Arabidopsis thaliana: one gene and its partner. The protein of the gene in region 1 interacts with the protein of each later gene in a pairwise test. Each region holds a gene or a part of one and is shown on either strand. Other genes may lie near its edges.

What was found.
Region 2: the proteins of PROT1 (region 1) and AT5G03545 interact in a protein complementation assay, tested with the Arabidopsis thaliana proteins (one large-scale study listed by BioGRID).

What each region holds. Positions count from the first base shown.
Region 1 is NC_003071.7:16,653,766-16,658,947, forward strand, and holds PROT1 (proline transporter 1), read left to right. Parts: upstream 1-1,811; 5' UTR 1,812-2,256; coding exon 2,257-2,356; intron 2,357-2,582; exon of another isoform or gene 2,583-2,727; coding exon 2,728-2,952; intron 2,953-3,030; coding exon 3,031-3,125; intron 3,126-3,206; coding exon 3,207-3,396; intron 3,397-3,490; coding exon 3,491-3,615; intron 3,616-3,759; coding exon 3,760-3,975; intron 3,976-4,059; coding exon 4,060-4,437; 3' UTR 4,438-4,647; downstream 4,648-5,182.
Region 2 is NC_003076.8:892,828-896,139, forward strand, and holds AT5G03545 (expressed in response to phosphate starvation protein), read left to right. Parts: upstream 1-1,754; 5' UTR 1,755-2,219; coding exon 2,220-2,432; 3' UTR 2,433-2,690; downstream 2,691-3,312. Other genes in the region: EXO70A1 (exocyst subunit exo70 family protein A1), read left to right, coding at 43-243, 345-444, 534-634, 727-873, 972-1,089; AT5G03550 (MATH domain/coiled-coil protein), read right to left, coding at 2,986-3,312.

The DNA of each region.
Region 1 (5,182 bases):
TCAAATTTTTACCAAATTATATTCCTACCAAAATAAAGATGGTCCAAAAGATGTTTTCTCCTTTCTCTTTCTTTTCGGTGTTAAAAGTAATTCAAAGTTTGCTTATAGAATATTCTAGACTTTGTTGTTGTGAAGTGACCTTGAAACTAATTGCGTCCACAGCAGTAAGACTCCTTTATGGTCCATTATTAAGGCACTTCACAGCATCTAGGGTATAAACGAGATATACTTATTCCTAAGTAATTTCTCAACTATCATATAGAAAGGAACGTTTGTTTTATGCATGTTAATATTACTACCAAGTACCAACATCTAAAGCGGTAACTCAACTGCACGAGTGTATGATCAATACAATATCAGTAATATTAGCCAAATCACAATTTTTGCCTTAAATGATACAGGCTTTTGTAACCATGTAAAACTTTTTTTTGGAACTTAACTCAATCTAAAATTGTCATGAATATGTTCTTTTTTCTTCAAAAACAATATTCATCTAGAACCCCACTTGGAACAAAAACTACTGTTAAAGAAAAGGAAACTTCACTATAGTCGACAACTCGATATCCACATCTAAATACTTATTTATAATTATTTTATTGATTGGTAATCTATTTGTATTATATTCTCTGCAAAGAATTTTGTTTTGTGTCATGGTCAGTGAGTGGCATATGATTTCAGTAAACACAAGTCACTTATTATGCAATCATGTACAGATTGATTCAAAACATATCCGTTAATTAATTTGAACAGTTGGAGATGTATAAAGTCTGAGTTGGTACTTCCAAATGGTTTAAGATTTATAGGAAGTTGTGTCCTTTCTGGCTTCTGCCATTAACCTCAGCCAATAGACTGTAACTTGCATGGCTCCGCCTCCAATCAACTTGCTCTCTAGAATATGTTGTACTATTAAATTAAACAATATATCGATAAATTCGATGAAAATCCCAACTGTAATTTTTTCTCATAGTATCAATTTTAAACTTTACTGTATTTTCTAAAGGCAAAAGAACTTTCTATTATAGATAAAAAAAAAATATTAAAATTGTGTAAAAGAGAATGTATTGAAGTTTTAAATGATCGAGAGTCAAAGACATTATCATTTGACTAGAGACTAAAGATGCACATTCTGTAAGATGTTAACTTAGGTATAAACTTTTTTTTTAAGTGTGATGTAGAAGTTTTCCACGCATATCGATCAGCTTAACCTTTTATTTAAACTATAAAACAAATCACTATCAATAGTTTTACTTAACGTGTTTCCTTCTCCATATCAAACTTATATAAATAATCTAAGAAAAACCATAAAAGCCAAGTACAAACGTATATAAATCGGGTATTTCTCAACCTAGATATATTTTGGTAAAGTATTAAGAAAACAAAACTGTATCCAAAATTGGTAGCTTGAGAATAACATATAACTAAATTAATATCGTAAAGATTGAGAAGATCATCACTTACAAACATTCAACAAGGTAGCTTCGACAACAACACAAATCTAATGTGTTTAGATGGTTCCATATTTTTAAATAAAAAATCAGTTTGCAAAACAAACAATTAGTACTAAAATAGTTTGTTTTTTTCTCACTTAAAATCCATATTTCCCTAGTTCACGTACATTTTCATTTATTATTCGTCAGCAAAATTATTATATCTTCTTGAAATGATGAATTCAAATAAAATAAGCAAAACTTGGCAAAGACTCAAAATAGCACAACTAGACAAAAATACCAGCTAACAGAAAGTAATAAGAAAAAACTCAAATAAATGGAAAGACATTAATAAGGCAGATATATGTTTTTTTATATTATAAATTGTTTTTTTTTATAGTATAAAAATAAAAATATCGGCATTCTTATAGGATCGATCTCTCATGCAAAACAACAAATTCAGACAAGAAACCTCAACGGCTCAGACCCACCAATACCAATTTTTTAAAGAGATTTCTGTCACAAGTAAGAAAGAAGCACTAATTACAAAAAAAAAGAAAAAGAATCAATCTTTTGTTCTTCGATTCGATTTCTAATCAATTAGATTGTTTTTGTTTTGTTTAACATCAGTTGCGAATCGAGCTGGATTCTTGGGCTCGCTTTTTCTTTCAATCAAAAGTTTCGATATTAGTGAAGGATAAAATTCGCTAAAAAAAGAGAATTTTTTTTGTTAAAAAAATTATAAAAGCTGGCTTTCTCAAAATTTCTCCATGTGGTCGACGAAGAAGACGAAGAAGACGAAGAAGAAAGAGAAAGTCTCTTAGCAAACATGACCGCCACCGAAGCTAAGAATCGCAAAATCAATGTCGGAGATGGAGATGACGTTGTTGATATCGAAATCCCTGACACTGCTCATCAAATTAGCAGCGGTTTGTTTTTCTCTGTTCCAATTGTTGTTTTGTTTTTCAATCTGGTTTCGATAAGAATGTGTTTGCTTAGATGTGTCGAAAAAAGTTTTGTTTTTTTTAAATGTACGGAGATTGTTTCCCCAATTTCAATTTCTTTAATGCTTTTTTTGATTAAAATATGAAAATGGTATCACCAGGAAGAAGAAGTAGAATCTGACTACTTCAAAATGTTGACTTTGATGATTTTAACGATGACCCTTTTGAAAAAATGTTTTCTTTAATGATCCTGGAACCATAAGATTGGGAAATTTTCTTGCTTTGCCAAAACTCTGCTTTCTATAAACTGAGATCATGTTTTGGGAAGCTTATACTATGTTTTGTGGAATGTGCAGATTCATGGTTTCAGGTGGCGTTCGTTTTGACCACCGGTATAAACAGCGCGTATGTGTTGGGATATTCAGGAACAATTATGGTTCCTTTAGGTTGGATTGGTGGTGTGGTTGGTCTTCTTATTGCTACTGCAATCTCTCTTTATGCAAACACTCTAATAGCTAAGCTTCATGAGTTTGGTGGCAGAAGACACATTCGCTATAGAGACCTTGCTGGATTCATTTACGGTAAATAAAAGACCAAACCAGCTCTCTTAATCTCTTCTCTGTTGTTACCTTCATTGGAATGATCTCTCTTTTTATCAGGTAGGAAGGCTTATCATCTTACATGGGGATTGCAATATGTTAATCTTTTCATGATTAATTGTGGATTCATTATCCTAGCTGGTTCCGCCTTAAAGGTAGTAAAACATTTTCTTCTCTTGATTCTTGATTTCGTTAGACGAGTTAGTTAATTTTGGTTGTGTGTTCTGTTTCTGCAGGCTGTTTATGTGCTTTTCAGGGATGATCATACCATGAAACTACCTCATTTTATAGCCATTGCTGGTTTGATTTGTGCGATTTTCGCTATTGGGATTCCTCATTTATCGGCTCTTGGGGTCTGGCTTGGAGTTTCGACCTTCCTCAGTCTCATCTATATTGTTGTGGCAATCGTGCTATCGGTTAGAGATGGTATAACTAATCAAATGATCATCAAGATTCAACATTACTAATGAGTTTAACTACTGCAAAAATCTAATTCTTGCTTTGTTTTGTTTGTTTCTAGGAGTAAAAACACCTTCAAGAGATTACGAGATACAAGGATCATCATTGAGCAAACTTTTTACCATCACAGGAGCAGCCGCAAATCTGGTTTTCGCATTCAACACCGGGATGCTTCCAGAAATTCAGGTGACTTTTCCCTAGACTTCAAAGTTCAATTGTTTGTTTGTGTTTGCTTTTATGTATTAGTGTACCTTTTGTTCAAGTAAAACCTGCATCTTAAACAAAGTTTGTTTGTTAATCATATTGACACTATAATTTCCACAATGTTAGGCAACAGTGAGGCAACCAGTTGTTAAAAACATGATGAAGGCTCTATACTTTCAATTCACAGCGGGTGTTTTACCGATGTACGCAGTTACATTCATCGGATATTGGGCTTATGGATCCTCAACCTCGACCTATCTACTAAACAGTGTTAATGGCCCACTCTGGGTCAAAGCCCTTGCTAACGTCTCTGCTATCCTTCAATCTGTTATCTCTTTGCACGTAAGTTTCTTAGCGCCAAGTCTACGCTTTTTTAACAAAGACTGTCGTCTCTAACTATATGTCTGACTCAATTCTTTGTTGTAGATATTTGCGAGTCCAACATATGAGTACATGGACACAAAGTATGGGATCAAAGGAAACCCATTTGCGATAAAGAACCTGCTGTTTAGGATCATGGCGAGAGGCGGGTACATAGCGGTAAGCACGCTTATCTCAGCGCTGTTGCCGTTCCTCGGTGACTTCATGAGCCTAACTGGTGCAGTGAGCACATTCCCTCTCACATTCATTCTAGCCAACCACATGTACTATAAGGCAAAGAACAATAAGCTGAATGCTATGCAAAAGCTATGGCATTGGCTTAACGTTGTCTTCTTTAGTTTGATGTCTGTTGCTGCAGCCATTGCAGCTGTCAGACTCATCGCCGTTGATTCCAAAAATTTCCATGTTTTTGCAGATTTGTAATTCATTATATTATATAGTCAATTGTGTATCCTTTATTCTTAGGCAGGTTTATTTCTCCTGTAAGCTTGTATTCTCTCTCTATTTGTCTTACCATTAGAGCCTAAATAAATAAATCAAGTTCTAAAATCTAAAAAGCATATAAAAGACCACTTTCATCATAATCATTCTGAAAATTTACCAACAAAGAATACTAAGTTGCATGATTAAAGTCTCTATTAGAAATGTAAATCATAGTATTAGAGAAGAACATAAAAACACCTAACTTAAAAAAACCTTAATTTAGTGAGATAGAGAAGAGAAGAAACAGAATTGTTGTTGGTTTAACAAAAACCTAATCTTTCAATGATTAGCTGTTTAATTTGAAATTATAACAATAATTTAGACAGGCCAAAGTGGAACCCCACTGTCTCCACCAAAGCTCTAGATAAAAAAAAAAAAACGAAAGCGTTAGATATTTTTTATCAATCGTGCTCCGTAATCATTACCTTTCTTCTTCATCTTCATCTTCACGCAGCGACTTCTTTGATTCTCTCTTTTTATTCTCAGCTCCAATTTCAACCTGCATTTCTCTCTTCTCAATTTTGGGTTTCTTTTTTTGATATCTCATTTGATCAGATCGACGAAGAGGTAACCATTTTGCCGTTTGTTAGTTCTTAACGATTTTATTCTGTTAAAAATCAGATTTTTTTTTGCAATGCTTGTAGAAAAAGATTCGATTTTTGTGTACTGATTGAATCAAAATATG
Region 2 (3,312 bases), on another chromosome or scaffold:
ATTGTCCCTTTCCACGCTTTAATTGATGATCATTGGTGTCAGCTACCAAACAACATTGAAGCAACTTTTCTTGGAATTTGGAAATGGAGATGACTCAAATTCGCAGCTAGCATCCGTAACGATGCGGATAATGCAGGCGCTTCAAAACAACTTGGACGGAAAATCGAAACAGTACAAAGATCCTGCATTGACACACTTGTTCCTGATGAACAACATTCATTACATGGTCAGATCTGTGCGCAGGTATATTATTTTTCTCGTTTAAACTTTAAAGGCTGATCTGGTTTTATTAAAAAAATAAAAGAACGCACTCATTTAGCTTTATTCATATGATAATTTTTCAGGTCAGAAGCCAAGGATTTGTTAGGCGATGATTGGGTTCAAAGACATAGGCGTATCGTGCAGCAACATGCAAACCAATACAAAAGAGTTGCCTGGACAAAGGTTCTGTCTATTTGTCTAACTCTGTAAAGAAACACTATTATATAAAATTTCATTAAATTGTTACTAAGAAACTGTTACATATTTTGTAGATACTACAAAGCTCATCGGCGCAAGGTTTGACCTCATCTGGGGGAGGAAGTTTAGAGGGAGGAAACAGCAGTGGAGTTTCAAGAGGATTATTAAAAGAGAGGTAAGTCCTAAACATGTAAAATAAACACAGTAATTGGCAAATGTTTATATATTTGGTAATGATGATAAATCTGTAAAAAAAAAATGGAACAGGTTCAAGATGTTCAATATGCAGTTTGATGAGTTGCATCAGAGACAATCGCAATGGACAGTTCCAGACACAGAGTTAAGAGAGTCACTAAGACTTGCTGTTGCTGAAGTATTATTGCCTGCTTATAGATCATTCCTCAAACGCTTTGGGTAAAAATCTCCTTTCTCTCTTTACTGCGAAGGCTTTTCTAATATTTGATTGAAATGTAAAAAAACCTAAATGAGATTTTAACCTATGATCGATGCAGGCCTTTGGTTGAGAGTGGGAAGAATCCTCAGAAATACATAAAGTATACAGCTGAAGATCTTGAAAGATTGTTGGGTGAGTTGTTTGAAGGAAAGTCTATGAATGAACCACGCCGGTAAAAAAACAACTAAAAGATGATGAAAACTAATTGTGTAAGGTAAATTTCTATCAAACTCTTCTTTTTTTTGGCTTACCTTACATAACTAGGTTCGTTGCTATTGTATATGCAGTGTCAACTTTTCGTTTTTTGTATTCTACTATTCTTTGGTTGGAATGAGAATGTGTAAATTACTTGGAGACAGAGTTGTTTCCTTTTGTATACGTTAAACGTTTTGAAATAACCATGGCCTAATAAGTCTAATCTCAACTCACAAGGATATGAAATCTTTTTTCTTAGAATGAAATTAATCGGAAATCAAAATCCTAGGCGTAATTTATAAAAAAAAATATGCAGTGAAGGAGCTAAGTTATAAGTTGATATGATTGACAATTGCTTTGAGACGAGCTTTGGTACTAAAGATCGAGCCAATAATATTTGTCCGAACAGCTGAACTAAGCTTGGGGACAAGATTGTCATGCGGATCAATTCTGTTATTTTCTTAATGGATTTTAGGTGATTAATCAGTTGTTATTGAACAGAACAAGACAGATAGAGCTCTACCGACTTGCATACTTAAATGAAAGAAATATGATTTATTAGTAAAATAAAGAGTGATGAGATGGTTTTGTTGTTTTAAAACACACATGTTTGGTAATTGGCATATTCCTTTTAGAAGATCCAAATTCTCCCAACATCTTTACATGGACTTCCCCATTTCCATCATCTCCTTCCACTTTTTTCCCAAAATAATATAAAAAAATGATAATTTGAATCGATGTAATGAGTGTATTCAACCTCTTGTATAATTTGTCTCCATGACCAAAGACAAAGAGAGAAGCCATAAAAACCCTAACAACATCCATTGTTGAAACTCTCTTTGGCACAACACCAAACACACAAAATATGGCCATCCCCTAAAGAAACTGAAGCTCAAGAACCCTCTGAATCTATCAGAAGATCTCACCAATAAAGGGTTTTGAGAGGTTCAAGTTTCTCTTTATGGGATGGCCCCAAACACAAGAGTACTCACAAAAGGTAAGAAGAAGAAGAGATCTCTTGGAGATTATGATTGTGAATGTTCGTGTGTGGGTGTTGTGTAAATGATCATCATCATCATCATCATCATTATCCAATATCATAATTATCAATATGGTGATGATGATGATGATGAGGATTGTGTGTGAATGGAGCGATGAAGATTGCATGAAGGTTGATGAAGACAAGCTTGATGTGTCTTTTGTTATCCCTCGTTTGGGCAACTTCGATCCTTTGGCAAGCTTCGGTTCCCCTCGGAATCAGCAGATTATGATTACTATAGCTCTTATATGTTTATGTTCCGTGTTTACTTTGTTTCCGGTTTAGTTTGGTTTATTGTCTTTAATTTCGTCATGTTTGTGTTGAATGTGTGTTGTTGTTATCCCGTGTGATGCACCATTCAGGTGTGTTCCTATGTGTGTGTGAGGAATAAAAGAATATTCGGTTTTGATATCTAAAATCAAACCCCACTTCTACCTTTCATTAATAGTGAGTGTCTTCAAACAATTTTGTTTTAGCAATCTGTGTATACCTTTATCAAAAATACTTTTAAGCTGGCCCATTCTTAGCCCATTAATAGTCCAGTTTTAGCCAATTGAAATCGGGTAAATTTAAACACATTCATTCTTCTAATATGAGCATCTATGAAGAAACCCAAGAGAGCCCTAATCAAACCGTGTCTGACAAGCTATTAAATAAAAAGTCGTATAAAGTAAAACAAACTAGAAAACCTACTACAGAAAACGTAGGGGTATCTAATTATGTTTTTTTCCGAATAATACATGATTATTGTTTCTAGATAAACAATCCATAATAATAATATTAAAAAAAAAAAAAGATTAGATAACCCTAAATAACCATTATGTTATTCTAAAGTGTTTTAGAAAAAATTAAAATATAGTCGCCCATCTTTTGTTGCGTGTATCCAGCTTGGTTGCTTCTTCAACTTCTTCTTCTCCTTTTTCCTCTCACTATTGAGATCAGTCGCAGTCATCACGAGTTTCTTGACCTCTAGTTTGAGTTCCAGAATCCGTTCTTCAGAAGTCTTCTTCTCCAAGGAAACCATGTCAAGCTTTGACTGCAACCAATCCAGGTTAAAACCGGCTTGTGTCAGATCACACATATCCTTTGAAGCTTTGCTCAATTCTGCTTCGGTGAGATAACCAAGAGGCGTGTGGTAAAGTATCCCGATGATGTCGCAGAGAAG